7 linked regions of the Coturnix japonica genome follow. The protein of the gene in region 7 interacts with the protein of the main gene of each other region in a pairwise test. Links are inferred from orthologs where the notes say so. Each region holds a gene or a part of one and is shown on either strand. Other genes may lie near its edges.

Region 1 (2,848 bases), on a different chromosome or scaffold from region 7:
GCGGGCGGGATGCTGAGCGCTGCCCCGCTGTCCCCGCAGGATGGTGCGGTCCCTGCGCAGGACGAAGGGCCCCGGAGGCGCCGAGCCGCCCCTCCTGGCCGAAAGCATCGCCGTGCGCTGCTTCGTGTTGGAACCGCAGCCCGAGTGCGGAGCGGAGCGACCGAGCGGGTGAGTGCGAAGGGGCCGGGGCAGGGACGGGGCTGGCGGAGCTTGGCTCGTTGTAACGCTCTGTTCTGCTCCTCCAGCAGCTGTGTCACCGCAGCCCGGGCCGTGCTGCTGCCCGCACGGCACCTGAGGACCGCGCTGCGGCGCGGCGGTGCTGAGCGAAGGGAGAGGAACGCGCAGGAGAGCGGCGGTGATGCCTTGTACGAACGGTGCCGGCGGGTGGCCCTGGAACAGGGGATGGGAGCCCCGCAACAACCCGAGCCCCGCTGAGCCCAGCGGGTGGGCTGCACCGTGCGTGGGGAGGAGCTGCGCTGCGGGGCGGAGCTGCTCAATGTCGGGTCCTTGAGAGAAAGGATGGCACCGAGAGTGGCTGCTGGCGTGACTGCGTGGGGCAGGAGAGGGGTGGAGGAGGCTCAGCTGCCACCCCCAGGAGCTGCGGCCGCCATCAAAGCAAAGGGAAAGGAGCGGGGACGGGGAAAAGCGACCGCCCCCCGTCCCCATGAGGATGCTGCGGCCGTGGGAGCCCCGGGCAGGACGGTGCCAGGACCCCAACCCCAGGTTCCGGCCCTGCAGCAGGGGGTGGTGGTGGAGGGAGCCAGGTCCCCCCGAGCTCTAGAGGTGGGAAGCACAGTGCTGTGCCTTGGGAGGGTCAGTGCCTGCATGTGGCACAAGGCAAATAAAGGGCAGCGTGACACGGTGCATGGTGCTGGGGTTCTGCATTCCCCACGGCCCCCACCCCGCAATAAGCACAGTGCAGCTGGGGCAGGCGGGATGCTTTATTTTGTTGCTTACACTATGTCCAAGCCCGAGGCACAGTGGTAAGGGCAGGAAAGAAGCAAACTCCCATCTGCAGGATGCCCGCAGCAGTGTTGTGCCCCAGGGGGGGAGGGGGCCACATCCTCACTTGCAGCACCGCCCCTGGCCCCCCAGAGCCCCCAGGCCCACTCACCTGCCCTCGGACTGAGCGTCCCACAGCTCTGACACACACAAGGGGTTCCCTCACCACCACCCCCTCCCCTGTGCCCCCTCTGCAGCCCCAGGAGGAGCAGGGCAGGCACGCAGCAGGGGTGCAGGGGTGATTCACTGCAATAAATAAGGGAGATGGATGGCTCACAGCAGGGACGTGGCACGGGAAAGCACACAGCAAGCGCGCTACGGCGAGGAGGGAGGAGGGCACAGCCTCAGCGCCCCATGGTACAGCTGTAACCATCCAACTCCCGGGGGCTGCCCCCTTCCTTTGGGGAGGTGCTGCAGGGAGGGCTGGTGGGGCTCATCCTGCGGCAGGGGTAGCCCTGGTCTGCACTCTCCCGCCGTCGGCCCATGGCTTGGTCAATGGTTTCCAGGCGGAGCGCAGGCAGCAGGCCCAGATTCCTGGGGTCAGCCCTGGCCAGAGGGTTGTCAACAGCAGCACGCCGGACACTGCATGGCTGCACAGTCTGGTAGAAGGAGCCCGGGCTGCCCTCCTGGCTGTTGACCACCTGCCCCGATTCCTTGGCTTTGGATCCACGGCGTCCCAGCTCCAACTGGGGCAGGTGGATGGCAGGGATGTCCCCGGTGAGGCCACGGCGGCTCTGGGGCGAGGGGCTCCTGCTGGTGCCCCGATCACGGCTCGATGGGCGCAGGATGAGACCCTGGAACTTGGCCAGGCTGGGACTGCGGCTCCGGTGCCGCTTCATCTTGCCCGGGCTGGGGCTGCGGGATTTGGGGGCCAGCAGGACAAGTGTGCTGTCATCCTCCTCCTCTGAGCTGCTGCCCGAGCTGTCCGTAGGGCTGCTGCCCTCCTCGGATCTAGGCAGGGAGATCTGCACCACGCATCATCAGCACTGGGCCCTGACCCACACAGGGGGCTGTGGGGCACTACAGCAGGACACCCTGCCCTGCTGAAACCTCCCTCCCCCCACCCTTCACCTCGAGGCACTGCTGACCTGGAAGGGCTCTGTCACACCCACGATGCTGCTGGAGGTGTTGCTGTAGTAGCCGAGGATGTATTCCCCCTTCCCTTTGGGCAGCGCTTCCTCTGAGAACATCACCTGCAGCAGATGGGCACCAGGCTGACCACAGGGCTGCCCCCCCAGCCACCCCCATACATGGGCCTGGAGCCTCCCTCCATGCCACCTAAACACTGCTGCTGCCTCACTCCATGGCATACACGGCACTGACTCACCTGTGCACACAGCTGCTTCTCTACACAGCGCTCTCCATCATCGCTCCTGGCCCAAACATAGGACACATAGTCTTTGGGATGCCGAAAACCCACCTGTAGAAGAAGGGAGGTGAGCTGGTGCTTTTCATCTTCTCTCAGCCCCAGCAAAAGATTCGGGTCATTTGGAGCCCACGGAGTGGAAGAAAGAGAAGTGCTGAATTCCAGAATGGGAGAGCCCACACCCAGGCCATGGAACAGCATCGGTGGGAGGGGGCAGCTACAGAGGGGATCCCATCACACTGCTAATGACCCCAGCCCCTACCCGGTAGAGGCCAATCCAGTCCCAGGAGCTCCGGTGGAAGCCAGCAGCCATCCTGTACTTGACAACTGCTTGTTCAGGCCTGATCCACTCATCAGCCACATAGATCTCCACCAGAGGGTTGTCTGCCTTGTAAGGAAACTGACAGGGACGTGCAGATGGTGAATAAGAGCAGATAGCCACGTGCCAGAGTGCTGCCCCAAGCACTTGTTTAGCACAAG
Region 2 (4,575 bases), on a different chromosome or scaffold from region 7:
CACATGAAACTAAAAATGTCCCCACTGACAGCAAAGCCAAGGATGAAGTGCCTCAACACTTTACTCACCATCCAGATTATTTTGGTCAACTTGTAGAAATTGATGCACGTGGAGATCTGATAGCATTCCTGCCCAGGAATGCTAAGCAAAAAAAGATAATGGTAAAAGAAAAATGAATGAATCTTTCTTTCCTAAGGATACATATCGGGATACATATCCTTGGGAAAAAAAATGGGTTTAAGGATCTCAGATCCATCCCTTGCTTATTGTTTCTTCTTATCAAAGAAGAATTCACCAGAGCTGGTATATCTGAATTATTACTAAGTCTGGTGCACACAAAGCCCAGAACAAACTAGGGGATACATGAAGATACATGGAAATGATCAGCTCACAGAGCTGGGAGTTTTCCAGGACAACACATTCTGTACTTAACCTCCGCTCCCACTTCACAGAATCACAGCATCACAGAATCGTAGGGGCTGGAAGAAACCTCCAGAGATCATCAAGTCCAACCCCCCTGCCAAAGCAGGTTCCCTACACCACGTCACACAAGTAGGTATTCAGGCGGGTCTTGAATATCTCCAGAGAAGGAGACTCCACCACCTCCCTGGGCAGCCTGTTCCAGTGCTCCGTCACCTGCACTATAAAGTTCTTGTGCCCATCCATGTGTAACTTCCTATGCTCCAGTTTCTGGCCGTTTCTCCTTGTCCTGTTTCCACACACTGCTGAAAAGAGTCTGGCCTCGCCGCTTTGCCTCCCACACCTCAGGTATTTATAGACCTGGATCAAGTCCCCTCTCAGTCTTCTTTTCTCAAGGCTAAACAGTTTGCTTAGTCTCTCCTCATAGGGGAGATGCTCCAGGCCCTTCACCATCTTTGTGGCCCTCCGCTGGACTCTTTCCGAGAGATCCCTGTCTTTTTTGTACTGGGGAGCCCAGAACTGGACACAGTCTTCCAGATCATGGTCTGTTTGAGTTTGTGTTTGCCTTACAGGTTGTGTTGCAAAACAGACCCCAAAGCTGTGTGTTTCCCACACAGCAGTAGATGATACATCACAGCACAGGAAGAAGTAGGAACTGCAGGAGGGAGAACAAGTCATTCCTCAGCTCCAGATAGGAACAGGGCTCCTGACCGGGAGCAGCGCTGTCACACAACACCAAGTCTGCTGAGAAATGACTGACAGGAAACGGTAGGAGAGATGGCAGATGAGCTCTGCTCGTGACAATTATTGATAAGCGATACATGTCAAAGTCTCGTATCCTCGGCTTTGTCTGCAGAGCTCCCAGTTGCCCTGGACACAAGGTGACATCTCAGTCACCAAGGCCATCGCCCATCGCTGTGACGCTGTGCCTACAACTCCCAGCTGCCCGCTGCGGCGCACGCGCATCGAGGCGCTCGTCCTTCCCTGTGCCCCCCCCCATCCCGCGGCCTAACTCCGAGTCGGCAGCGGCAAGATGGCGCTCACCAGGTGCGTCCCTCTGTCCCCCCGCTCCGTCCTCGTCGCTGTTGGTGTCTGGGGAAGCGCTGGGTGCTCGGCCCGGCGAGCGGCCCCTCCTGGGTGCGGGCCCACGGTCGCTGAGCAGCCCGGGGTGCGGTGTGCTGAGGGCCGGGCCTGCGGGAGCTGCCTGCGCTGCTCGCTTTGTGCGGCCTAGAGCGCGATGGGGCCTCCGCACCGCTGCGTGCTGCGGGGAGCTAACGCGGGTTTTGTGAGGGGAAGGATTGGTGCTGGTGGGATACCTGGTCGCTTTCCGGCTTTTCCTTCCCGTGAGGGATGTCTTTGTTACGAGCTGCTGCTCCGAGAGCGCGGCTCCGCGGCCTGCCCGGCTGTACCGAGCGGGGACGTGAACGCCGCCCGGCAGCGCGGGGGTGGCGGTGTGCAGTGCGCCGGGTCCGGACGGGGGAGTTGGAGTGTGTGGCTTTAGACCGGGGGTGTCCGGCTGGGGAGAACCACTCACGGGTTCGTCTGTGGGAATTCGCCTTTTTCAGAGCTGTTTTTTTATGTGTCTTTTTGGTGCCTGTCTGGGGACGTGCAGTTTTTTGCCAGCTCCAACCCAGTTGTCCCAAGACCAGCTCGAGCTAGAAGAAAGAGCGAGGGCGCAGAGATCCAGGCAGACTGCTCTGGTCTCATCACGAAGGGAGCCTCCCCCATACGGCTACCGGAAAGGATGGATACCGCGGACGTTAGAGGTAGGTGTTTAAACTCACCATATTATATTAGTACATCTGTGTTAGTGGGTAAAGTGTGTCTTTCCAGAGTAGAGTCAAACTATGAAGTTTCTTGAGATAATCACAGAGAATCGTGCAGGTTTACATGCAGAATTTCCAAGTTTCTTGTCATGGTAACGTGGGAATACGACTGTGGTCCTTTCTGTTTAAGGTCTGAATGTAGTGACCCTCTGAGAATGACACCCATACCAACCCTCTGTCATTATTTGTTAAATACATATCTGGATTAGAGGTGAAATAAGTAGATGGGTGTATAGCAGAGAAGAGAATACTTCTCATGTGTACTGTGTTCTTAAGGTAGCAAAAGGTAACTGCTCTTGGGGGGTGTTAAGTGATAGAAACTTGTTAGATGTGGGAGTGCTAGATAAGGTGACTTAAAGCAGTAGTTCCAGTGGTTCTCTAAAGTAAAATACTTTTATGGAATTTCAGCATTTAATAAAGGATGTGGTATTAAAATTTATAGTTCAGCTTTCTCCTTACAGTGCTCATTACTAAAGCTACTGTTCGAGTGCTTGTTCTAAATGCTGTGGGGGGGGGGGAACCTGACTTAACTTAGTTCTATTGGTTTCCAGTATCACTGGGCCAGAAAATGCAGCACATCTCAAAGACTTCTAGAAGATTCCCTTTTTGCCTCATAGACAAAACCAAAGAATAGTAATTGCTTGCAAGTATAGGCTTCATCTGCTTATCTACTCATAATTGAAAAACAGCATCTATTCTTAATAGATTTGGTCATGTAGAAAAACCTGAGAGATGGCTGAATTTAGTTCTGCATTATATTTCAGCACTGATTCTGTATCTAACTGTTGAACTGGATGCGGGGCATCCAATGGAAGACTTTAAACAACCGAAGTTGAATTTCAGTGTGCACTTGAGGCAAGCATGAATATGTGCTGCTCTGGAAAGAAGTGTTCTGCCCGATGATTCCAGTCTCAGCCCATGCTGTCTGTTGTAGTGGTGTTAACTGTTTGGTCTCATGGTGAATACGTGGGGATCAAGCTACCCAAGTCACCTGGTTTGCTGTTGGGCAAAATCAAAGCCATTGCAGCATGGTGAAAGGGCACAGTAGTGTTGATTAGAGAAAATGCTTCCCCTGGGGTTTTGAAACCATAGCCTGAAATTGGTTTAGCGATTGTGTGCCAGTTCTGTTTGCATCTTCAGTACTGAGTCACAATGGTCTGCTTAAAGAGGTCTTCCATTTATTCTGCTCCTTAAATAGTTTTAAAGCAAGAAATTGAACAAGAGGAAAAGTAAACTGTTAGGAACACGAAGCTATTGGTTGCTTGTCCTGTTTTCAAGTTGTGTCAAAATAAGGAAATCGATATCTTGGCATTTGTACCATTGTAAAGCTGTGAGCTGCAGGCTTGAGAGGGCTGGAAAGCTTTATAAATTTCTTCACCTAATTATGGTAGGATAACTAAAATTACAAGAATAGCAGTTTTGTGATGAAAATCTCTAGTGGTTAATTTTTGTGTATTTCAGCGGTTGCTTTATTGCTGCAGATAAATTCTAGAAGTTGTAATTAATAACCTGCATGTGAATTAAATACTTGATCATTTACCGCCTGTCATGCTGTAGTGCCTGCACATCCAGCCAGTGATAAAAGAAGTTTCTCTGTGAAAGGAATAATTGTAGAGAGTTTCCTGCAGGATGTCTTTGTATTTCCATTTCACAAGTGTAAGCTGTAGTCAGCTGTTCTCTTACAAGCCAGAACAGTAATGCTGCTAGAGCATTTCTAGCAGTGTTTCATGTTAAAATCAGTCCACTCTTTTGTTCCATTTCCACCCATGCAAATGTTATGACCTGGTCTAGTACCTGATCTGGAGGGTGGTGGGCCCTGCCTGTGGGTTGGAACTTGATGATCCGTAGGGTCCCTCCCAACCTAAGCCTTTATACAATTCTGTAGTTATACCATGTTTTTGTCTTTCAGTCATTCTCTACCTTTTTGTGTGTGTGTAGGATTTTGGAGATGGAGGTGCTTTTCCAGAAATTCACGTGGCCCAATATCCATTGGATATGGGCCGAAAGAAGAAAATGTCCAATGCTTTGGCTGTTCAAGTGGATGCAGAAGGAAAAATAAAATACGACGCAATTGCTCGACAAGGACAATCAAAGGACAAGGTAATGCTTTTTTCTAAGACGTGGATTGTGACACACACCTGGAGAAGTCACACGTTGCATGTACTTGTGGTCATTGCTTTGGCATTAGATAAATTAAATGAATTACCTCCTTGAAATATGTTCCTGTTTTCCTTAAAGTTAAGAGCTGAAATGATGTCAGACAGATGTGAGCATTTAGACTAGTAGCATAGGATGAGCAAGAATTTTGTTGCCACGCGTGTGATCCTGT
Region 3 (2,781 bases), on a different chromosome or scaffold from region 7:
TAACTGGACGTCCTGGAGCCTGGGGGCATGCCCGTACCTACTGATCTCTCACATGCCTGTGCATGCCTGTCTGCAATAAAACACCTGCTGCTTTTTGTTGGGTTTTGTTTCGTTCCGTTTTGTTTGTTAACCCGTGGTACTCAGCTGTAACGTCGAGATGTCAACTACCTGTTTACTTTCCCTTCGGTCAATGCGGGTTCCTTAGGTCGACCGTGCCTGCACGGAGCCCCGGGCACTAACCTGGGGGTGCTCTGGGGGTGCACATTAACCCTCCCATCGGACATGTCTGCTCACCCATGAATAACCCCGGAGCATGGCCACGTAGTGAATGCTCTGTAATAAACCGTAGGTCGCGCCTTCTCCTATCCGTGCGCTCTCTATCTCTGCGTTCTTTGTTGTGTACTTTGGGTTTTCTACCAGGTCCAGTCCTTTATGGCTGCCAAGACTTATCTCAGGCCTCGAGCTGTTAGCTCTTGCTCTCTGTAGGGCTGTTCTCCCAGGTCCTGTTGATTTGTCGTATTACTGGCTTTCTGACAAACTGTCTCCTGCCGTCTTTATTTGCAGGCTAATGGAAGTGCTAAGAAAGCTGGTGGGGACTATAAGGCTACTTCCCCCACCCTCCCTGCTTCTAAGATCCCTGCCTTTTCTCCCACTTCTGGGAAAAGCAGCTCTGCCCCCGCTCCCAGCAGTGACGGCCCTAACCCCCTTACCCCATCCGCAAAGCCCTCCGTGCCCCCCTCTGGCCTCCTCGGGCCCCAGGCAGGCCGCATGGCGTACTCGGCCTCCCTGATCCCCTCTGTCGCTAATGGCTCCTCCAAGTTCCAGAGCCCACCCTACGCCGCGAAGGGCCACCAGCTCTCCTTCTCGCTGCAGACTCAGAACGGCCGCCCGCCCCCTCCTTCCTCCTCCACCTCCCCCCCATCCTCCACCTCTCCCACCTCACTGAACCAAGGTGTGAAGAGCATCAGGACCATCCACACTCCCAGCTTCACCAGCTACAAGGCGCAGAATGGAAATGCCGGCAAGTCCGCCTCCCCCGCGGCCAAGGAGCCGGCCTAGAGGCTGCGTGCTGGATTGCCACTCCTTCCCTGCAGCCACTGTTCTAACCAGGGAGCATAACCATTTTGCTGTATCGCTGGAGGCTTAATACTAACCATGTGCTAAATACTGAGTTACTACACTAGAGTAGAGTGAAGCTTTTTTGTAAACCTGTTGCTGTTGTCATGATAGAAGAGCGTTTTCCCTCTGTAGGCAGCACCTCATGGTGGTGGTGTGTGGGTGTGAGCCGGGCGCTGAGCATGGCTACACGTGTGGCTGGCGTTTAGTAAGAGGTTTTGTATAAAGCTATTTTTCATTACGGGGACTAGACATGAACAGAGATAGATATACTGCAGTGTGATTATACACAACTGTAAAACTGAAATATTCCTCTTTTATTTTGGTGTTATTTAGCTTTGTTACAGATTTCTATTTTTGTCAACCAATGCCACGGTTCGTTTCGAGATCTTTTTGCCAAAATATTTTGATATTATCCTATAATGTACATTTGAAAGCAGTATGCTGGACAGTAAACCTCTGCACCACAGACAGACAGAACAAGACTGGTCTCAGTGCACAGGAGGCAACTCAACCTATTGCACTGCCGTTCAGAGTCTATTTAAGAATTCACCAAGCAGAGAAAAAAACCCACAAATAATAGTTTGACACACACAGGGAGTTGCCGATGATTATTTTCTTTCTTTCTGAGCTAAATTCACCCTCCTCCTTCAGCTTTCTTTTACTGGGACCTGGTAACCCATCGATGTACTGCATTGTGGATTTTAAAATGTACACTTCTGTACTGTTCTGTATACTGGCAAACTTTTTGTACATACCTATAAATAGATATAAATAAATAAATGCTGTATGTGGCTGGGCACTTGGCGTAGTTTGACCACACCAAAGTTAATTTTTATGCATGCTTTCAAAATATCTATGGGGCAGGGCTGAAACAGGTGGGTCACGGTCACACAGGAGGAAAAGCAGCAAGTTTGCAGAGCTCATGGTTTTGTAAATAAATTTATTGTATAACAAACACCCTGATGTAATATACAGAACTATGATAAGCAAAGATCTTTACAGAAATAAAGGGCTGCATGCTTATGTTTTCTACTTTGTCACTAATATTTTTTCTGGTGGTCACAAGCAGGGCTGTTTGTTTGCCTTAAAGAAAGAGGGAAACTACCAGGAAAAAAACAAAAACAAAAACAAAAACAAAAAAAAAACCGCTACCCTGATTTTCCCCAGGTTAAAGCCATAAGTAAGGATCAGTTTCAAAATGGAGTCTTTTTAATTAACTCAGACAAGAGTGAATTGCTTGGCTGCCGGGTTGGTTAAAAAGGCAGCAAGAAAAAAGGGGAGCACCAGAGTCTTGGGACTGATGAAATGAGGGATGGTCTGACCTCCCTGCTCTGCTTTGTTCCTTACAGGGGAGCAAGAGTTTTCTTGAAACTCATTTCAAGGCTGAGCCCTCAGAGGGTGCATCCCTTGCAGTGGAAACAACTCAGTATGCAAACATCAACTCGTACCTCACTGACAGGAACAGACTCGTGTTCTGGCAGTGCTTGTGCTGGTCCCCTGTGAAGGGGACATTTCTGCAGGCTGAGAGCCCAGCACTGTCCAGGAGCTGCAAAGCCAAATCGAAGCGCAGCACAACTCACAGCACTCTGAGTGTGGTGCTGGGCTCCAGCCATCTCCCAGCCTCTGCAGGACAGCTGTGGGCCCAAATCCATCTGACTCCCT
Region 4 (4,049 bases), on a different chromosome or scaffold from region 7:
AAAGCATACATACATAACAGTGCTAATAGAAAAAACTTCAGATCTACGCAGTGGAAGCATATAATTCACATACTGGAAGTACCTACATCTTATTAGACATTCAAGTTTTTGTCAAGACACCACAGCATACTTGTAAAACTTCCTTACTAAAATACTAGCTGGTTATTCCTCTCTTCAAACACATATGTAATCACAAGAGAGTTTGTAAACCTGTTTTTCTACATGGCATATATGTGGTCTTTTTGCACACTTAAAAGGCTTGGAAAATCAATTTACTTCTCAAAACAATAGCTGTTTCCATGAGCTTTCATAAAACAGAAAAGTTGCACAAGTCAACTTCATATTTGGGTATTCACACAGGTAGCAAGACCATGCTTTCTAAACTGCCCCATTACAACAGTACTCAGGCAGCACTTCACCATGTGGTAAGCATACTGCTAAACAAGAAACAGAGCAACAGAAAGTAAAATACAAATGACAACAACAGCCTTACTCTTAGCAAAGATATCAACAGGTGATCCATCAGGCAAGAGCCACGGCCAGCCTTTGAACTGCCAAGCAGGACCCTGTACAAACACTGCTACCACACGATCCCTGTGAACATAATAGATGGATGTTGAGAAATACATTTTCTTAATCACGAAACCTATCTTAACATAGTTTGTTGGTTCTGTTTCTTTTTAAAGCAACAGCAATCAAGTCCATGTAACAATTGCATCTTCCGTACAACCACTCTTTCTCTATTACAAAGTAAGTGAAAAAGAAAAGTTACATGAATTACCTTTCAGCTCTGCTCTCTGCAGATTCATTTATCTCAATAGTGTTTATTTCTGGCCATTATTCTTTGGTTTTTCAAAGTTCTCTAACAGTTCAGAGATAATCCTCTATGAATAACAGTGTAAACTGACTGAGATGTAGCAATTTAAAAGCCATCATTTTGCATACTGTTAACTTCTATACTAAAATCTTATTACAAGAGACAGTGCTGAATTCCTTCTTCCAGTTAAATAGTCAGTCATATGTTGTGAGGCTATGTAACCATTAACTGCTGTTTGTGAAAATAAATTTGTTGTTAAGATGAAGCTTTTATATTAATTACATTTTCTAAGAAGCCTTTCAGAATGCACATCCTGCCACATATGGTCTGCTTTCTTGAACACTTGCATTATCCAAGCATGGTTCCTATCTACTGTAACAAATTACTGCATATCTAACCCAATTCTCAACTTTAGTTTACTGAATCACAAATTGCAAAGAATAAACAAGAGTTGTGTGTGTGCTTGACTTTTTGGTGGTGGGTTTCCTTCTTTTTAAGGGGAAGGAGGGGGTATGAACTTGGAGACAATCCTAAAGCTTAACATTTAAGAGCACGTTGCAGCTTTTGTAATGGGTAGCTGAAAAGTCACAGCAACATTTCCACACATCCAGATACTAATATTTGATGGTACCTTGGATAAACTAAAAAAAAAAAAAAACCAAACACTTCCAAAAGCAGGGCACTTGATCTCTTTGGTCAGAAGTATTTTAAGGTTTGAGCATTAAACATCGTGAATGCTATCTGATATCAGAATTTCAAAACCACTGGCTGCTGATTAAGTGTTCTCTGCATCAAGAACTTGAATTCAGAACAGAACCTCTTGAATAAATAATCCTCCCCATTAAAATCTACTTTGGAGGTTCAAAAAACCAATCAGCAAAGATGTCCTGCACACCTAATATCCTTAAGCCCACGAGGAAGTAGCAGAAATGTTTACTATTTCATTGCATCACAGATATACAATAAATACAACATATGTTATAAATGTGTTTCATTCAAAGGGAAACACATTTTTGTACTATCAAAGAATGGGCTTATGAACAAAATCTTTCTGCAGCTTTTTTTTTTTTTTAAACAGGAAAAGTTATTTCTGATTCCCTTTCCGCAGCTGAGGTTCTCCCTTCAGAACTCAGCTCCCATCGTGTAATTCAGTTCAATCTATGTGATTCACTACTGAACCCATGGTTCATTTCTTTTGACTGCTGGAAAAGAAAAATTACAGTATCAGATGCTGAAGATGTCTGCAAAAATGCAGTTTCCCTATAGACTCTCAAGTCAGAAAGAAGATGAGAAAGGATTTTTGCCTTGCATCATACTTCAATGACTTGCATGCTACAGTATCAGAAACTGGAAAAGTCATATCAACATTTCTACTTGAATTTCTGGAATATTTCAGACAAACTGAACATAATTGTGCTGCTCATAACATTAAAATGTAAAACGCTATTTCAGTTGCATATCATTTAACCTGGATACGAGAATCCCTTAGAATCAACAGACAAATCCATTCTTCTAATCCCATCTTTATTTTTTATGCAACTTAATATAATTTTATTGGTTCCTTTCAAGTTCTGCACTCTCCCAATGAAGAAGTTTAGTAAAGAGGAAATCTATCTTACCAGTCTTGAGGCATTAGTTTCAGAGGTTGGTCTACTACTCGGTAGGGTACAGTCACACTGACTGTAGTTCCCCCAGGTTGCATCTGGTCCTTCCTTCTCTGTATTAGAGTTTCATTCTCTCGTTGACAGCCTTGTTTCTTCTTTTCATCTGATGGTACAAACCTTGGGGAATAAAGAAACTGTCAGTAGACAAAAGTACTTCAACAGAACAGGGAACATAACAACTTGAGCAGATCCTTGTATTATTGCAGTCACTGAAGCCACCTCACTTTCACTATGCTACACCTCCACGACTCCATTTGGTACATCAAGATGAAGTTTCATAAGCACTTACAATAAAACCAGTTGTACTCAAAGGTCTTCTACCCCTCAAAACTACAACCATCATATGTTGATGACATCTCTTGCCTACCTAACCCAATACATTAACAGATGAAAAGCCAAATCACAGCCTGCTGAATGACATTAACCAATTCTTTTCAGGTATCAAAGACTACATAGGGAAGCTCATGCATTAAGAAAATGATTACTTGCTAGAGCACATTTTGTAGCTCTTGTCCTCAGGGAATTCAAACATACACATCACAATTATGCTTTCCACCGAATGCTGTGATTTTGGATCAAAAACATTCAGGGGACAGTTTTCTGGTGAGTTTTTCCTTCTCTTTTTTAAATTATTACTTATTAATTTTATGACAGTGATTTCACACTATTAGATGATTCATCTGATGTATGATACTACAATTACGATTTCTTTTCTTCCCTTTTATTTTAAATAGCTTCTTTGACAGATCAATTATGTTTGCAAAATAAGGACAATGTGATCCTTATGTCTCCATCTCTGTAAAAAAAAAAACAAGTGCTTCAGATTCAACCCTTGATTTTTCTACCTTCATTTAAAGAGTCTCCTCTATATAACAGTAATAAAACAAAATACACACAGCAATTCCCAAAATTGTGAGATTAACGTAAGGCTCTTGATGAATCTCAGTGGAATTGTAACAAGGAAGGGTAAAATATCTTGCACTTCAAAGAAGTGCAACTACATGACAGCAAAGTTTGCTGATGTGACCCAGTATCACCTTCCAGGCCAGCAAAGGACTAAGGAGAGCATGAGCTCAGAACTATCTTCTCTCCCCTAATGTTCTATTCAGAACCCTCAGTTGCACTCCTAATATTGTTTGCTTCTGACATTTTGTTTGCGAACTTCTGACTAAAAGAAGCAGCATATTTAACTGTAAAAGGTATCAGGAGTATTGGTGCTATATTTTAAACACACAGTACTATATTGTCGACATTTCTCTTCATTATAGAACAGATGGTGCATACTAAAAGATTACTGCATTTAAGGGTACGCTGTTTGAACCATTTCTAAAGGTATTCTCTTCGATCCATTCCAACTTCAGTTCTAAAAACAACTTGAATAAGCTTAAACATTAGGTAGACTGCATTTCAAATTACTAGGAAAAGAGAGAAAGGAAGTCAACTAAAAGGAATATTCATTATTCACTTGAAAATTCTTCCTTATGCTAACGTAAGAGGCATTTCATGGGGGAATAAGGTTAAGTGTTACAGACGTAATATCATTGTTTAAACCAGCATGTGGAAACTGC
Region 5 (4,651 bases), on a different chromosome or scaffold from region 7:
TATGGCTGTTGTTGGGACCAAGAATGGGTCTGACTGAAAGCTTACAGTGAAAAATTAATGCTTACCCAGTCTGGTTCCCCGACTGAGCAGGCGGTTTTAAAAGGGGAGGGTCCAAGAGAGGGTCTGCACCAGACACAGCTGCACCAGCTCTATCAGCAGCAGCCCTTGTTACACCAGATGAGATGGCATCTTATCTGCCATACAAACCAGTGAGAAGAGCATGAACACCAACTGAAGTTATTACAGAGGTCAAGCAAGCACTTAGAAATACTTGTTCCAGTCTGAATTCTGTACTGGATGCAATAAATGATCCCAGCTGCAACTTTTCCTTCAGCTAACGCCTCTACCATGAAAATTATTGGGAAAGAAAACAGACCCTTTAGACACAAAATACATGAAAGCAGAGACTAATTTTCATAGAATGTGTGACAAAGTAAGAGAGTGACCAAAACTACTAAAATTAAGTGAAAGGAAAAGTAGTGTTTCATAAGAAGATATCAAATATGTAGCTATATTTGTGTAGTAACTGGATTGAAGAGATTCAGGATGAAAAATTAAATTTATATGATGCTGCAATAAAACCAAACTACATTCAGAGAGGAATCAGACAGGAGATAACACTTTGTTTTGAGGTGAGGAGGCTGGTGTTATCGATGACTGAGAATGCCTCTTTGGGACTCTACATTGCTGATAGTATTGGAAAAAGAACATAAGTACAGAGGAGGAAATAAACAGCAAGAAACAAGTCTGGCAAAGGAACACGTTTTTCATGCAGTGAAGTAGATATAATTTGTATGTAAAGGGAAGACTAGAAGAAAAAAAGCTTAATTGTATCACAGTATCACAGTCTCGTGCAGGTTGGAAGGGACCTTAGAGATCATCGAGTCCAACCCCCAGGATTCGAGCCCCTGTGTAGCAGAGCGGCACTTCTACCAACTACTACTACTTCTTTGTGTGGGAAATCAGTATCACTCAATATGGAGACAGCATTTGGGACACTGAGCAATCAGCTTTATTGAAGGTTTTTAAGAGTAAGTTAGTCACACAGCTCATAGAAGCGTCGGAAATCAGTGCTGTCCAACTTCCTGACCTGACTCATCACAAGTTAAAGTCTTTATAAAGTTAAAAGCTACCAGACTGGTACAGCCAGGAAGGCCGATCTGCGAGTCTATGAGAAGAAAATGGCTCTTCAACAGTTCCACCAATTCACACCAATTTACCAACCCAAGTTTCATCAGCCTTATCTACAGACAACAGCCCTTCCCTCAGCACCTGATGTGCGTGGAACCAGCCCAGGTGCCAAGCCAATGTGCCAGCTCAGGGGCCAAAGTCCTGGGTACACAGATTGCTCCATAGAGCAGCGCTGAATTATGAACACCTTGAAGTTTATTTCAACTCATTGGGCCTCAGTAACCCCGAGCCTGTAAAAGCTGTTCACAATTAGGGATGCCTTGCCGGCTGACTGCCTACAGCTTGATGAGGAAAGACAAAAGAACCTTTCTCAATCCAGAACTCAAACACGGTATATAAGGAAAACCAGTGTGGAGTTACACATTAGGGTTCCAGATTACTACAGAGCGGAGGGGGCGGTGCGCACCGCCGAGCTCCGCCCTTCACGCCGTCGTGAGGCGCCGCGGCTACCTCAGCACATCCGGGTCGGGGGCGGGGCCGGGCTCGGAGGTTGGTGCGTGACGTTGCCGGAGGCTCCGGGCCGCTCGGCGCCTGTTATTGTTCTCGCCCCGCGCTTCCGAACGCCGCCGCGTCCTTCCCGGGCGCCTCGGGAGAGGAGCGAGACGGAGAGAGGCCGATAGGGGCGGGAGGCGGCGGGGCTGAGGTCGGAGGGAGCGGCCGTTATAACCGTATCGAACTCTCCGCAGCGCGATCCCGGCCAGCGGGGGCGGGGGGGAAGAGCGCGCACGTCACGAAGGAGCGAGCGAGAGGCGGCAGCGGGCGGCCATGGCCTACGCGTATCTCTTCAAGTACATCATCATCGGGGACACGGGTAAGCGGACGGAGCCGGGGGCGGGCGGAGCGAGCGCGGGGCCCGGCTCCCCGTCCCCATTTCCGCAGTGCTGGCGTCGCCGACGTGGTGGCTGCGAGCGGGGAGGCGGCTCCCCGCCCCTGCGCCCGGCCCCGCCCGGGGCCTCCGCCCGCCGCGCGGCCTCGGGGCCTCGGGGCCCGCCGCCGTCTCTCCGGCGTTGCCTGCGGCATCCGGCGGGCTGGAGAGCGGCTGTCCCCGCCCGCAGGCCGCTGTGCTGTGCTGTGCCTTCCGTGAGGGCCCGGCTGCAGATGCTGGGAGGCCTGTTACGGTGTCACAGCGTGCTGCCGGAGGGAAGCGGAAAGCTTTGTCTCTTTTTCGATGTATGCGATTTTTATTTTTCGGACCGCTGGTGCTGTGTGTTGAGTCGGTCTCATCCCTTCTCTTATTTTCCTTCGTAGAAACTTGTGGTGTGATGGTTGTCAGTGCCACGTAGCAAATAACCCCGCGTACTATTGCTGCGGGCATAACCGTACACTGATTGAAACTGCTGTCTGATGCTTCTTACCCAATGTGCCATATTCCTTGCCCCGTCCTTGGAGGTGTTCAAGACCAGGTTGGACGGGGCCCTGGGCAACCTGATCTAGTAAATGTGTATGTTTGATGGCCCTGCCAGGCAGGGGGGTTGGAACTACATGATCCTTGAGGTCCCTTCCAACCCGGGTCATTCTGTGATTCTGTGCCCTTGGCACAGGGTGGATGTAGGTAGCGTGTTTCCATTCCAGCTGTTGTCAGGGGGAGGTAACTAACGTAGTTAGCTATTGTGCCTATGCATCATACATCTTCCTTGTTGTTTTCCTCATACCTGAGTAAATGCCTCCTCTAGTACATACCTTGGATGACGCAGGCATCATCTTAGATACTCTTGCAGGGATACTTCCATAATTGTACTTCATGAGCCATGTTGTAGGTAGAGTGTAATTAAACATGGCAGATGTGTTACATGTGAGGTTACTAAATATACTGGTTGCAATTACTACATTTTTAGAGGTCTTTTTCCATTTTTTTTTAAGTCTGTTTTTGAACTCTGCAGGCATTTTTTAGGCTGGTGCAGTAGAAGCTGTAGTACAAATATATGTTAAGTGAGGTATCCCAGTTTTAACTACCATTTTGGAAATGTTAGGTTTGAGATAAGTGAAAATCCAGTTGTTTTTTCTTGACTGTTTATGTGAGTGACAGTTCATTAACCCAAAGGACAGGAGAACACCTGGGCAGCTTCAGGTGAAGAAGCAAGTTTATCTTCCCAGGAGAATGCAGAATAGTAATGCCGAGTTCAGAGTGATGGCGCCTCAGAACAGGTGATCAATTGTGCTGCATTTCTAAAGCTGTGATCGCTGAAGTGGTAGGGAAGACAGCAAACAACTGCTTTGCTATATTGATTGTATGCTGATTAAATTTTTAGAATGAACTTTCTATAGTGCAGCAGTCCGTGCTGCAATTCAGTTGCATGAAATGAGAAATGCAGAATTGATGTGTGTCACTCCTGTCTCTGTTTCAGCTTCTTGAGAGCCAGTTATGGGTATAGTAAGATAGAGAAGGGAGATATGGGAAAGAAAACATGTCAGAAATTTATCTTTTGTTTGTTTTGTTGTTGGGTTTGTGGTTTATTTGGTTTTGGTGTGTTTTTTTTAGTTTCTTCGGTTTTTATTCAGAGTTGCTCTAGTGACAAGTGACAGGACAAGGGGAAATGGCCTCAAGTTGCGCCAGGGCAAGTTTAGGTTGGATATTAGGAAGAACTTCTTTACAGAAAGGGTAGTTATGTACTGGAATAGGCTCCCCAGGGAGGTGGTTGAATCGCCATCCCTGGTTGTGTTTAAGAGCCGTTTGGATGTGGTGCTCAGGGATATGATTTAGTGTAGGGTTTTTAGAGTTAGGGTACTATGGTTAGGCTGGAGTTGGACTTGATGATCTTCAAGGTCTTTTCCAACCTGGGTAATTCTATGATTCTGTGCTACAGGAAGCCAATTAAAACCAATGCAGTGATCATTTTTGAAGAAAATGAAATATGGCAGTAGCAGGAAGTTGCTTTTGCTTTCATTCAGATCTCCTATGAGTCTTTTAGAATTCTGGCATAGCTAGTACTGAAGAGACAATTCATGTTGTGCAGTTGTTTCTTGTCAAAAACACCGTGTTATTGCTACTGTAAACTCAGTCAAAGACAGTTGAACTGGTAGCTCTGATTATCACAGAATCACAGAATGACCCGGGTTGGAAGGGACCTCAAGGATCATGTAGTTCCAACCCCCCTGCCTGGCAGGGCCACCAAACATACACCTTTACTAGATCAGGTTGCCCAGGGCCCCGTCCAACCTGGCCTTGAACACCTCCAAGGATGGGGCATCCACAACCTCCCTGGGCAGCCTGTTCCAGGGCCTAACCACTCTCCTAGTGAAGAACTTCCCCCTAACATCCAACCTAAATCTTCCCTCTTTTAACTTAAAACCATTTCCCCGTGTCCTGCTATTGTCAGCCCTTTCGAAGAGTTTACTCCCCTCCTGAGTGTAAGTTCCCTTCAGGTATTGAAAGGCTGCAATGAGGTCACCCTGCAACCTTCTCTTCTCCAGGCTAAACAAACCCAACTCCCTCAGCCTGTCCTCATAGGGGAGGTGCTCC
Region 6 (4,623 bases), on a different chromosome or scaffold from region 7:
TCTCTGGAAAGCACTACCTTTATAGATCATAGGAAAACGCGGGTGTAAAGTTTGAGTTTCTTTGTTAAGCATCCAGTGAAATAAGCAGATCACAAATCACGTGCTGCCTGCACCCCACCAGCAGCAGCTCACATCATTTCAACATCCTTGCATCCTGCATGGCTTCATTTCTTTCTCCTGCCCTGTTTGCTCTTCAGCAGGTCCTTTGATCCCACAGCCTCACATCTTCTGTTGTTTCAGACCCACTCAAGGTTTCCATCGCCCCACACACAGCCCAGCTGCTGTGCTTGCAGACAAAATCACGTTGATAGCACTCAAATGAGGAGCCTGCCATGTGCTTGTTTCCAGTCATATGAAGAACTCCTCTTCCTCCTCAGGCCTGGTCCCAGGGCTGTCTCTCCGTGTTTGCACACGGGAGCCTGGAGCCCCGTGTCCCGCTGCTTTCCTCCTGTTGGCCACAGCAGATGGTGGCTGTGCACAGTGCGAGGCGGTGCAGGCCGTACTCAGCACCCATGGCTGCACAAGGTTGTGCTGCAGTGAGCAGTGACAGCCCACAGTTCTGCCCACAGCCAGCCCCGTGTCCACGTTGGTTTCTGCTGCTGGCCGGCATGGCCAGCCCTTCTGCTGCCTGCTGCTCATGGGCACATGGCGGGAGAGCATCGTGGTGCCCCGAGAAGAGCCAGAGAGGCTCCCATTGGGCTGCTGCATGGGGAGGGCATGGCCTGGCACGGGTGTCACCCTGCCCCTCAGGGCCCAGCCCTGCTGGCCTCCCTGCTCAGCGCTGCACAGAGTGGGGAGAGGGGCTGCAATAGGGCTGTGCAGCAGTCCATCCACAGCAACAGCACTGCGCCGGTTGGGAAGCACAGAGCTTGTTTCCCTCTGCTTGGAGCTGTCCTGCACCTGTTGAGAAAAGGTGGAGAGAACTTCCTTAAAGAAGAACTTCCTCACCAAGAAAGGAAAATAAAGAAAATCGAACATACATTGAAATGATTTAAATATCCAAATAATAATAAAAATATCCAAATAGCAACCAAGGAAGCCAGAGGTGTGAGGAGCTGTTACAAAGCAAAGAGCACACAGATGAACTTCCCTCCTGCTCCCACGTACAATCACAGTGAGCACCACCTCCTCAGCACCATCTTAGCCTGGTTTGATTTGTGCTCGCATGCTCTCAGGGCTGCATAGCACAACAGAAAGGGGGCGGCTTTCCCATGGCATTTATTTAGCCCTTTTGCCCAACTGCAATTACAAAACTACCATGGGTGATGTTGCATCAGCGCTGTACTTGCAAAACACCTGGTTTGGGATGGTACGGGGCTAAAACTCTGCTTTCTGGAGCATTTATAAGGTTGCATCAGAAAGAGAACAGGCTGGAAAGGGAAAAAGGTGAATTCAGTGGCTCGAAAAAGAACTAATACCTTCTACTTCGGGTGCTAACAATATGGAAGCATTCTAAGGATCCGTGCTCACATTTATCAATGACATCGTAGCACTGGAAGTTGGTTGCTGAGTTCATGAATTAAAAACGAAATACGGACAAGCAAAACCTTCATTTCCATTTTGAATCAGTCCTGCTCTTTGTTGGAATAGAAAAACCCAAAAGGCATCTGGTCTGCAAGCACCGTGCACACACATACCTGAAGCAGAATTTTATTTCCTTCGTAGTCCTGTGTTTGCCACCTGGTGCTGCTGATAGGAACGCATGGATTGGGCAGGAGAGGCACCAGCTGCCCCATTTCTTGCACCTTGAACTGCAAAAGCGACGACTCCTTGGGCTCAGCAGCCATCCCAATGGGCAGCTGCTTCAGGCAGAGCTGGACCGCAATAGCTTTAGTGGCATAGAGCATGAAGACACAGAAATTGCTTTTCCGTGTGGTTGCTTCTTTCCGTAGGATCATCTCGTACAGCCCCACTGCATCGTCGTAGTTATCAAAGCTGAAGTAGAGGGTCACACGCAGGATTTCGGGGCTGCAGCCCACCCGCCGGATGCCCCACACCGGCATCTGGTCATCCAAGCCATAAAAGTCCTGCAGAGCTGGTGTGTGGGGAGGGCTTCGTGCCCAGGTGGTAGGGACACACTGGTGGTGCCAGGGTGGGCGCTGGAGGAGATCCTGGATCTGGAGGATCCGCTCTTCTCCCAGGTCCTCATGCAGAAAAAGGAGGACAGATATCCCAGGAAAGCCGCAGTTCCTCCTGCGATACCTCTCGTAGTATTTCAGTGGAGCAGCTCGCTCGGACACAAAGAAAAGTGGAACATCTGGGCAGATCCAATCCATGAGACGATCCAGAGCTTGCTGCAGGAACGCCGAGTATCCTGAGTTGGCCAGAAGATGCACAGTCATCAGAGGCTCTGCTCTGTCACCCATCATAAAGCTCCTCTTCAACAAACAAAACCAAACCGAAAACCAGTTTCCTCCTGCAGTGTTCGGAGTGGCAGCAGCACAGGCACTGCACTCTGAGGTAGAAAAAGAACTTGATCACTCAGAAGCTTTGCAACAACCCAATGAGGTGACAGGGTTGCACACACGCACACGAGGCAGGAAAGCGTGCCACGGTGTGATGGGACCAGCTCTGGTTTGCTCACGTCATATCAGAGCTCAGATGCACGTTCTGGCCCAGCAATGTGACCCAGAGCTGGTCACCAGGTGCACACAGCACATGCGCTGAGGCGCTGTTGTGGTGCAGTGACTGTCCTTGAGCAGGGTGCTGGGGGGCTGAAGCAGGAGTGCAGTCGCTCTCCCAATTGCACACATCTCATATATCTCCGGGTGCTCGCCGTGTGTGAAAACCTCAGCGTGTGTTCCTGCAGTCAGCTGCTGAACTTCAGCTTGCTGTGATCTCCCCAAGTCACACCCTTCTGGGGCACACAGATAAGCTATTCTTTAAAAACAAGGAAGGAAAGCAGGCTAACAAAGAGGAAAAAAAAAAAACATGTGAACAGGAGAGATAACAATGAGGGCCAATATGAATCAGGCCCAGGCACTGCAGGAGGAGCCTGGGCTCGGGGCTGTGCACCTCATGGGGCAGCAGTTTGCTGCTCAGCCCACCCCAAGTTGCTGTGCAAGGGTCAGGGGTCTGCTATCCAGAACACTGGACTTGAACTATTCCTCCCCCCCCCCAACTCCTTTAATTAAATACAGCCCTAGCTTTATATGCACCTGAAGAAAATCTCCAGGGTTTAACGGTACAGGGACCTGAGCTTCACGTTTCTTTTATTTAAAGATCACACTCAGTAATAGAAATACAGTCATGAGACCAAAGTAATGTAAGGTCTTAAGAAAGATAGCTGCAGCACTTCCAACAAGTAGTAACTGTTGGGACAGAGACAAAAACATCCAACCCTTGGACAATCACAGGAAGAGCGAAGGCTGCGAGTGTTCAAAACATTACAGCGCTGTAAATGAGCTCTGAACAACACAGAGTATTACTGAAACACCGAAAAAGGAAGCGATTCATCAACTCTTTGCTACAGGGAAGGGTACAAAGAGGCAGGCTGCCCTAAATGTGAGCAGCTCCTGACTTTCCCTCTGCTTCCCCTTCCCCCAGCTTTCCAGTCTGGCTGCCAAGCGGAAAAGCACATTATTCACTGTGACCTACCCAGCATGCCAAGAAAGATTGCTGTAAGAGATTAGGAGAACAGCAGCTCAGCCCTATGTGAAAAATCAGCCTGCGCTCCCACAATGCCCCGGAACACCATCCACACACAGCAGCAACATGCAGCACAGCACAGGGTACGGCATGCTGTGCATTGCTGACCTGAGTAAGAGCACGTGAGGGACGTACTGACCACCAATATAGAACATCAGTAAGCCCAGCATAAATAAATGCCCAGTGCAAACAGCCAACAAGTACTGTATTGTGTGAGGCTCAGAATATGGTCTGTGATGTGTTTCAAGGCTTGTAGTGCAAGGGCACAGCAGAATTATAACTCCTTTCCATAATGAGCTCTTTGATTGCTCCCAGCCCTGAGGTGCTGAGCCCTTCACTCCAGCTGACACCCAAGGACTGATGACGCACCGCAGGATTTAATAAATTCATTGTAACTTCTGTAATGAAGCAACACGGCAAAGGTTCAGGCATTGCAGACCATCGGTAATTAACTTCCAGGAGGGTGCCTGAATTACCTCAGCATCACAGAAGCAGCCCTCATTAAATCCCGGCACTGTCTTGGGCTCGTTAGCCTTCAAGACATTTTTTTTTCCTGCCGATTTCAATTTCTTCCTGCACCAAGGCCAATGACAGCCATCGACAGCAGCACTCAGACAAAAAGCAGAAGTAGGGCCCTACTTGAGCACAATAAGCTTTGCAGCCTGCCTCCTGCCCCAAGCACCGTGCCTCCAAATTCATCAGTTCTGAGGAAAGTAAAACCCCAGCAGTCTGACCTACTGCACTTACGACAGGGGACTTCTCTCCCAAGTAGTCCCTTAGTTCTCCTTTTTAACCAGCTAGTAAAAAGGATCTGGCAGGGATCTATCAGCAACTGGACACAGAAAACAGAGCTCATCACACATGGTAAATCAGGATCCAAGCAGAAAACAAGACAAAAATGGAGCCACAATCAGAGCAGGTTAGCTCAGTCCCGCTGTCAGCAGGACACAGCAACTCAAGGCTCAGCCCTAGGAA
Region 7 (4,483 bases):
GGCTCCAAGGAAAGTCAGGAACTCCCTTGCTTCTTTCACGTACAGGTTACTTGGCCTCTGTTTGTCCAAGCTCTCATAAACTTGGAACATCGCATGGACATCTCAAAAACACGGCCTGCATTTGTTCTGATTGGAACATTCTTTTCACTTAACACTTCAAGATGCAAAAGTCAATGAGACGACCAGAAGGATGCCTTCCTTCTGCCTCCACAGTGAACAGTTTTGAAGTAAGTAATGAAATAAGGTTTGTTTATAATAAATATATATGAAATAATGAAGAGCTCACAGGAGTCCTCCTGTCAGCACAGTTAGCACCTGAACACACTTCCATTGCTCAGCAGACTCCTTCCTGCCCTTCCTCCCCCAGGAGTGAGGGAAGACACTCAAGCCTGTAAATGCAGTACTTGAAATACCCGACTTCCTGCCTAAGCACATTTAGAACTGTGGTACTTGCCAGACTGTACATCACCTGTGCAGGTTTCATCACCTGTCATAAAATGGGGCGGCTGGAATAACTAAAGGCTTGCTCAGGGCAGGCATGAGCAGAAACTCGCCCTTCAGGAGCACAGCACTGAAGTGAATAAAACAACACAGACCAGGAGAAATACACATGAATAAAGCACTACTCCTCCCTAACACAGCGTCTCTCAGCAGTTAACTTGGTTTACTGCCTCACCCCAAACTCTGTTTGCTCCTTTCTGCCTTCCAGCTCGGCTGTCTGAGGGACGTGCACTGGACATGGGTGACATATTTGCATTTTTTGACAGAAAACAGGAGGAAACAAGCACTTACAAGCGATGGAAACGCATGTTAACAAACAGCCCCGTGTTAATAAAAACAGCAGACATGCCAGAACAAGGCTCCATCTGAATTCACAGTGTAAAACATAAGTTAAGCATGCAGAGGGGACAGCGAGTCAGTGAGAGGGACACGGAGCACTGCCTCACCTTCCTTCTGTCCAATGAGGGTATGGCTACCCCATTGGAGCGGTTAAGGTCTGACACCAGCACCTTCAGAATGTTCTGAATCTAAAGGAGGCGAAAGAGAAGGGGAAAAGAGAAACGGCTCAGAAAAGGACAGAGAGAAAAACGTCCATCAAAGGCAGCCAAAGAAACGGGCATCGCCCAGCCCCCGAGGAGAGGCAGCTCGGGGTGCATCCAGGGTTGCGTTACAGCTCTGAACGCTCCAGCACTGCTCCAGCACACACCCTGACTCACAGGCTGCTAACAGGGGCTCCTCAGCCGCTCACATTACACTGTTTAACCCTCCCCCAGCTGCAGTTGTGCTGTTTGGGAAACCAAAGCTGGAGGCAGAGGGGATACGTGGGAGGAAGGGGGGGACGCTCACGTTCTCTGGAGACTGTCGGCCGTCGTTTGTGGGAGTCTCAGGCCGACTTCCTTCTTTACTCTTTCGTTTCTTCTTGGCTCCCGCAGTCGCTCCAGGGCTGTTCTTCTGCTGATACTCCTTCAGCTGCGGGGAAAGAAAAGATTAATGTGAAGTCCAAATGGAAGATGTCCTCTGTGAAGGGAATGGCAACAAGAAAATGACAACATAACCAGTGGGTAAGGAGTCAGCTGAGCTGTAAGGACAAGAGAAACCGGCCTTAAAGATGGATATACGTTAAAAATAGTTCAAAGGCTCCAAAAGGGAGAATGAGAGTGATGGGTTTGTGACAGACCGAGAGCTGTCAGTGCTGTCCAACTAAGGAAGTGCCCAGGAAACAACTTGATGCTGCAAGAAGCAACGTTTGTAAATCTGTAACCAACAGCAACGAGGGAAAAAGAACGATAACATGGGATGCAAACTGGAAAAGTGGAGTCTGATAATAAGATGGAACAAGAATGTTGAAAGAGCTTTAGGAGAACGACAGCCCTGCAGGTAACACACTGATACAGGCACAGAATCACAGAATGACCCGGGTTGGAAGGGACCTCAAGGATCATGTAGTTCCAACCCCCTGCCTGGCAGGGCCACCAAACATACACATTTACTAGATCAGGTTGCCCAGGGCCCCGTCCAACCTGGCCTTGAACACCTCCAAGGACGGGGCATCCACAACCTCCCTGGGCAGCCTGTTCCAGGGCCTCACCACTCTCCTAGTGAAGAACTTCCCCCTAAACTGCCAGCACTGCGGGGATGAGCACACTGCGATGGATGCTCAATTGGAGGCCGTTGTGCCCAGGAGAAGCTCAGAGCAGCACAAATGGCCGCAGCTCGGGGCTGTGAGCGCCCATGGAACGCGGGGCTGAGCTTAAACGTCAAGGTGAAAAGCACCGGAACGAAAAGGATCCTCGGCAGGATTTCAAAATGGAGCCCGAGCTGCTCCGGGGCACTTTCCCATTCGTTTGACTTTGACACGGGAGGGCATCGCGATGGGACGGAGCGGGCCGAGCTGTGAGAAGGTAAAAAGGGAAGAGAAAGGGGAAAAGAAAGGAGGGAAAAAGGAGAAGAAAAGAGGGAGATGGAGAGGAAACCCGAACGGGAAAGAGCGGCACACACAGAACGCAGCAGTGCAGCAACACAGGCCCGGCCCCACCGGGGCGACAAGGAGCTGCGGGACCGGGCCGGGCCTCACCGCAACGCTACGGGCACGGCACAACACGGCACAACACGGCCCCACATAGCACAACACGGCCCCACACAGCACAACACGGCCCCACACAGCACAACACGGCCCCACACAGCACAACACGGCCCCACATAGCACAACACGGCCCCACACAGCACAACACGGCCCCACATAGCACAGCACGGCCCCACACAGCACAACACGGCCCAGCACAACCCCCCGCCCTCACCTTCTTCTTGGCCGCCGCCAACTTGCTCTGCCTGCTGCCGTCCGCCATGTCCGCCCCGCTCCCGGGCCACGTCAGCCGCCGGGTGGAGCGGCGCTGTGCTCGGGCAGAGCTCCGCCCCGACACCCGCCCCGACACCCGCCCCACCCCGCGGCCTGGGCTCGGCCGGGCCCCTCCGCCCGGTCTGGGCCGTGAATGGCGGCCGGTCCCGCCCCGCTCAGTGCCCGCCCACGGCGGATGATCGCAGCCCCGCGTTCCGGTTCCCATCGTGCCGTGCTGCCGGTGCAGGCCGCGGCCCTGGCGGAGCAGAGCGGTCCCGGTTCGGGGCGCAACGCGCCGCCCCCGCAGCGCAGGTAGGAGCGGAACGGGTCGGTTCTGTTCGGTTCGGTTCTATGTGCTGACTCGGGGCTCCCCGCGCTGTTTCAGGGCTCTCGGCGGTTCCCGGCGGAGCGGTGGTGCCGGTTTCAGATCCCCGGTGAGCCGCCCATCCCGTCCCATCCCGTCCCGTTCCCCCGGCTCCTCTCGGTGCCGTTCAATAACCGCCATGACGCGCCGTGTCCCCGCAGCGCCCGGCCCCATCCCGCACAACGGGCGGAGCATCGTGCGATAGTATCGAAGAACTGAAAGAGAAGGAGCGAGCTCTGGACCGGGAGATCGCGGAGCTGCTGTCCGAGTACGGCCCCGTTACAGCCCCGTTACGGCCCCGTTATTGTCCCGGTACAGCCCCGGTACCGCGGCCATCCTAAGGGTTATGGGATCCATGCACGGCAGCAGGGAGCTCCTTCCCCGTTGTTTCCCCAGTGCTGTGTTGGTCAGGCTCTGAGCTCCCCTGCTGATGTACATTGGGAAGTAACGGGTGTGTTTCTATAGCTGATGGCAGCACACGTTGTGCTAACAGAGCTGCTGATGTATATAAGCTGAGATCTCAAGCTGAGGCCGCTGCCCAGCTGCCTGGATGAGCGTTTCCCTTGGTCTGTGTGAGGCCATGGACACTTGGTTTGAATGAGGTGGTGGGGGTTAATCATAGAGACATGAAGGCTGATAAAGAGCTCTGATCCCCACCCTGTGCCCACTGCCACGTCCCTCTATTCCACGTCCCTCTATTCCACGTCCCTCTATTCCACGTCCCTCTATTCCACGTCCCTCTATTCCACGTCCCTCTATTCCACGTCCCTCTATTCCACATCCCTCTATTCCACGTCCCTCTGTTCCACGTCCCCATGGCTCTAGAACACCTGCAGTGATAGGGGCTCCTCCATCCCTGTGCTGTACAATGCCCCACCACTCTGAGAAAGGCGTTTTTCCTGCTATCCAACCCAAAATCATTGCTCTAAACAATGATGGGTTTGACCAGGCTGGCTCTGCACACCTCAGATATTGCTTTGTTCCGCAGTGGTTTTGTTGTGTGGCTTTGTTACAGAGGGTACAATGTGGAGGAATTGGAGAAGCACATCTCTCTGCTCCATGAGTATAATGAAATTAAAGATGCTGGGCAGATGCTGCTGGGCAAACTGGGTAAGAAAACTATTGAAGAAGCTCTTGGTGAAGCAAATCTTGTTATATAAAGAGATATTGATGCCTTAAAGGCAAAGCTTGTTTCAAAGAATCCTCAGTGTTCAGCTTCCTTAACAAAACCAAGTGGGGGCACAGCTGGAAATCTTTGGTTCCTTGGCTGTGGGTGGTTCTGT

The links.
Region 1: the proteins of GOLGA2 (region 7) and INPP5J interact in binary tests that used the Homo sapiens proteins (3 or more experiments, as listed by UniProt). The two-hybrid records come from large-scale screens. The link is inferred for Coturnix japonica from reciprocal best matches to the Homo sapiens genes GOLGA2 and INPP5J.
Region 2: the proteins of GOLGA2 (region 7) and SNW1 interact in binary tests that used the Homo sapiens proteins (3 or more experiments, as listed by UniProt). The two-hybrid records come from large-scale screens. The link is inferred for Coturnix japonica from reciprocal best matches to the Homo sapiens genes GOLGA2 and SNW1.
Region 3: the proteins of GOLGA2 (region 7) and KIAA1217 interact in binary tests that used the Homo sapiens proteins (3 or more experiments, as listed by UniProt). The two-hybrid records come from large-scale screens. The link is inferred for Coturnix japonica from reciprocal best matches to the Homo sapiens genes GOLGA2 and KIAA1217.
Region 4: the proteins of GOLGA2 (region 7) and CDC73 interact in binary tests that used the Homo sapiens proteins (3 or more experiments, as listed by UniProt). The two-hybrid records come from large-scale screens. The link is inferred for Coturnix japonica from reciprocal best matches to the Homo sapiens genes GOLGA2 and CDC73.
Region 5: the proteins of GOLGA2 (region 7) and RAB2A interact in binary tests that used the Homo sapiens proteins (3 or more experiments, as listed by UniProt). The link is inferred for Coturnix japonica from reciprocal best matches to the Homo sapiens genes GOLGA2 and RAB2A.
Region 6: the proteins of GOLGA2 (region 7) and FAM124B interact in binary tests that used the Homo sapiens proteins (3 or more experiments, as listed by UniProt). The two-hybrid records come from large-scale screens. The link is inferred for Coturnix japonica from reciprocal best matches to the Homo sapiens genes GOLGA2 and FAM124B.

Annotation. Positions count from the first base shown.
Region 1 is NC_029530.1:8,880,833-8,883,680, reverse strand, and holds the end of INPP5J (phosphatidylinositol 4,5-bisphosphate 5-phosphatase A), read right to left. Parts: intron 2,769-2,848; coding exon 2,631-2,768; intron 2,423-2,630; coding exon 2,330-2,422; intron 2,196-2,329; coding exon 2,091-2,195; intron 1,968-2,090; coding exon 1,347-1,967; 3' UTR 924-1,346; downstream 1-923. Other genes in the region: PLA2G3 (group 3 secretory phospholipase A2), read left to right, coding at 40-168, 246-435. UniProt on the Homo sapiens protein: Inositol 5-phosphatase, which converts inositol 1,4,5-trisphosphate to inositol 1,4-bisphosphate.
Region 2 is NC_029520.1:35,702,607-35,707,181, reverse strand, and holds the start of SNW1 (SNW domain-containing protein 1), read left to right. Parts: upstream 1-1,348; 5' UTR 1,349-1,453; coding exon 1,454-1,467; intron 1,468-2,032; coding exon 2,033-2,186; intron 2,187-4,184; coding exon 4,185-4,346; intron 4,347-4,575. UniProt on the Homo sapiens protein: Involved in pre-mRNA splicing as component of the spliceosome. As a component of the minor spliceosome, involved in the splicing of U12-type introns in pre-mRNAs.
Region 3 is NC_029517.1:15,320,102-15,322,882, reverse strand, and holds the end of KIAA1217 (sickle tail protein homolog), read left to right. Parts: exon of another isoform or gene 1-102; intron 103-564; coding exon 565-1,059; 3' UTR 1,060-2,151; downstream 2,152-2,781. UniProt on the Homo sapiens protein: Required for normal development of intervertebral disks.
Region 4 is NC_029523.1:3,292,452-3,296,500, forward strand, and holds part of CDC73 (parafibromin), read right to left. Parts: intron 2,599-4,049; coding exon 2,437-2,598; intron 595-2,436; coding exon 494-594; intron 1-493.
Region 5 is NC_029517.1:102,066,819-102,071,469, forward strand, and holds the start of RAB2A (ras-related protein Rab-2A), read left to right. Parts: upstream 1-1,658; 5' UTR 1,659-1,956; coding exon 1,957-2,002; intron 2,003-4,651.
Region 6 is NC_029524.1:6,955,061-6,959,683, forward strand, and holds the start of FAM124B (protein FAM124B), read right to left. Parts: upstream 3,063-4,623; 5' UTR 2,370-3,062; coding exon 1,638-2,369; intron 901-1,637; coding exon 349-900; 3' UTR 1-348.
Region 7 is NC_029532.1:3,735,481-3,739,963, reverse strand, and holds the start of GOLGA2 (golgin subfamily A member 2), read right to left. Parts: upstream 3,152-4,483; 5' UTR 3,063-3,151; coding exon 2,799-3,062; intron 1,471-2,798; coding exon 1,348-1,470; intron 1,029-1,347; coding exon 948-1,028; intron 1-947. Other genes in the region: DNA repair protein SWI5 homolog, read left to right, coding at 3,340-3,351, 3,406-3,512, 4,216-4,310. UniProt on the Homo sapiens protein: Peripheral membrane component of the cis-Golgi stack that acts as a membrane skeleton that maintains the structure of the Golgi apparatus, and as a vesicle thether that facilitates vesicle fusion to the Golgi membrane.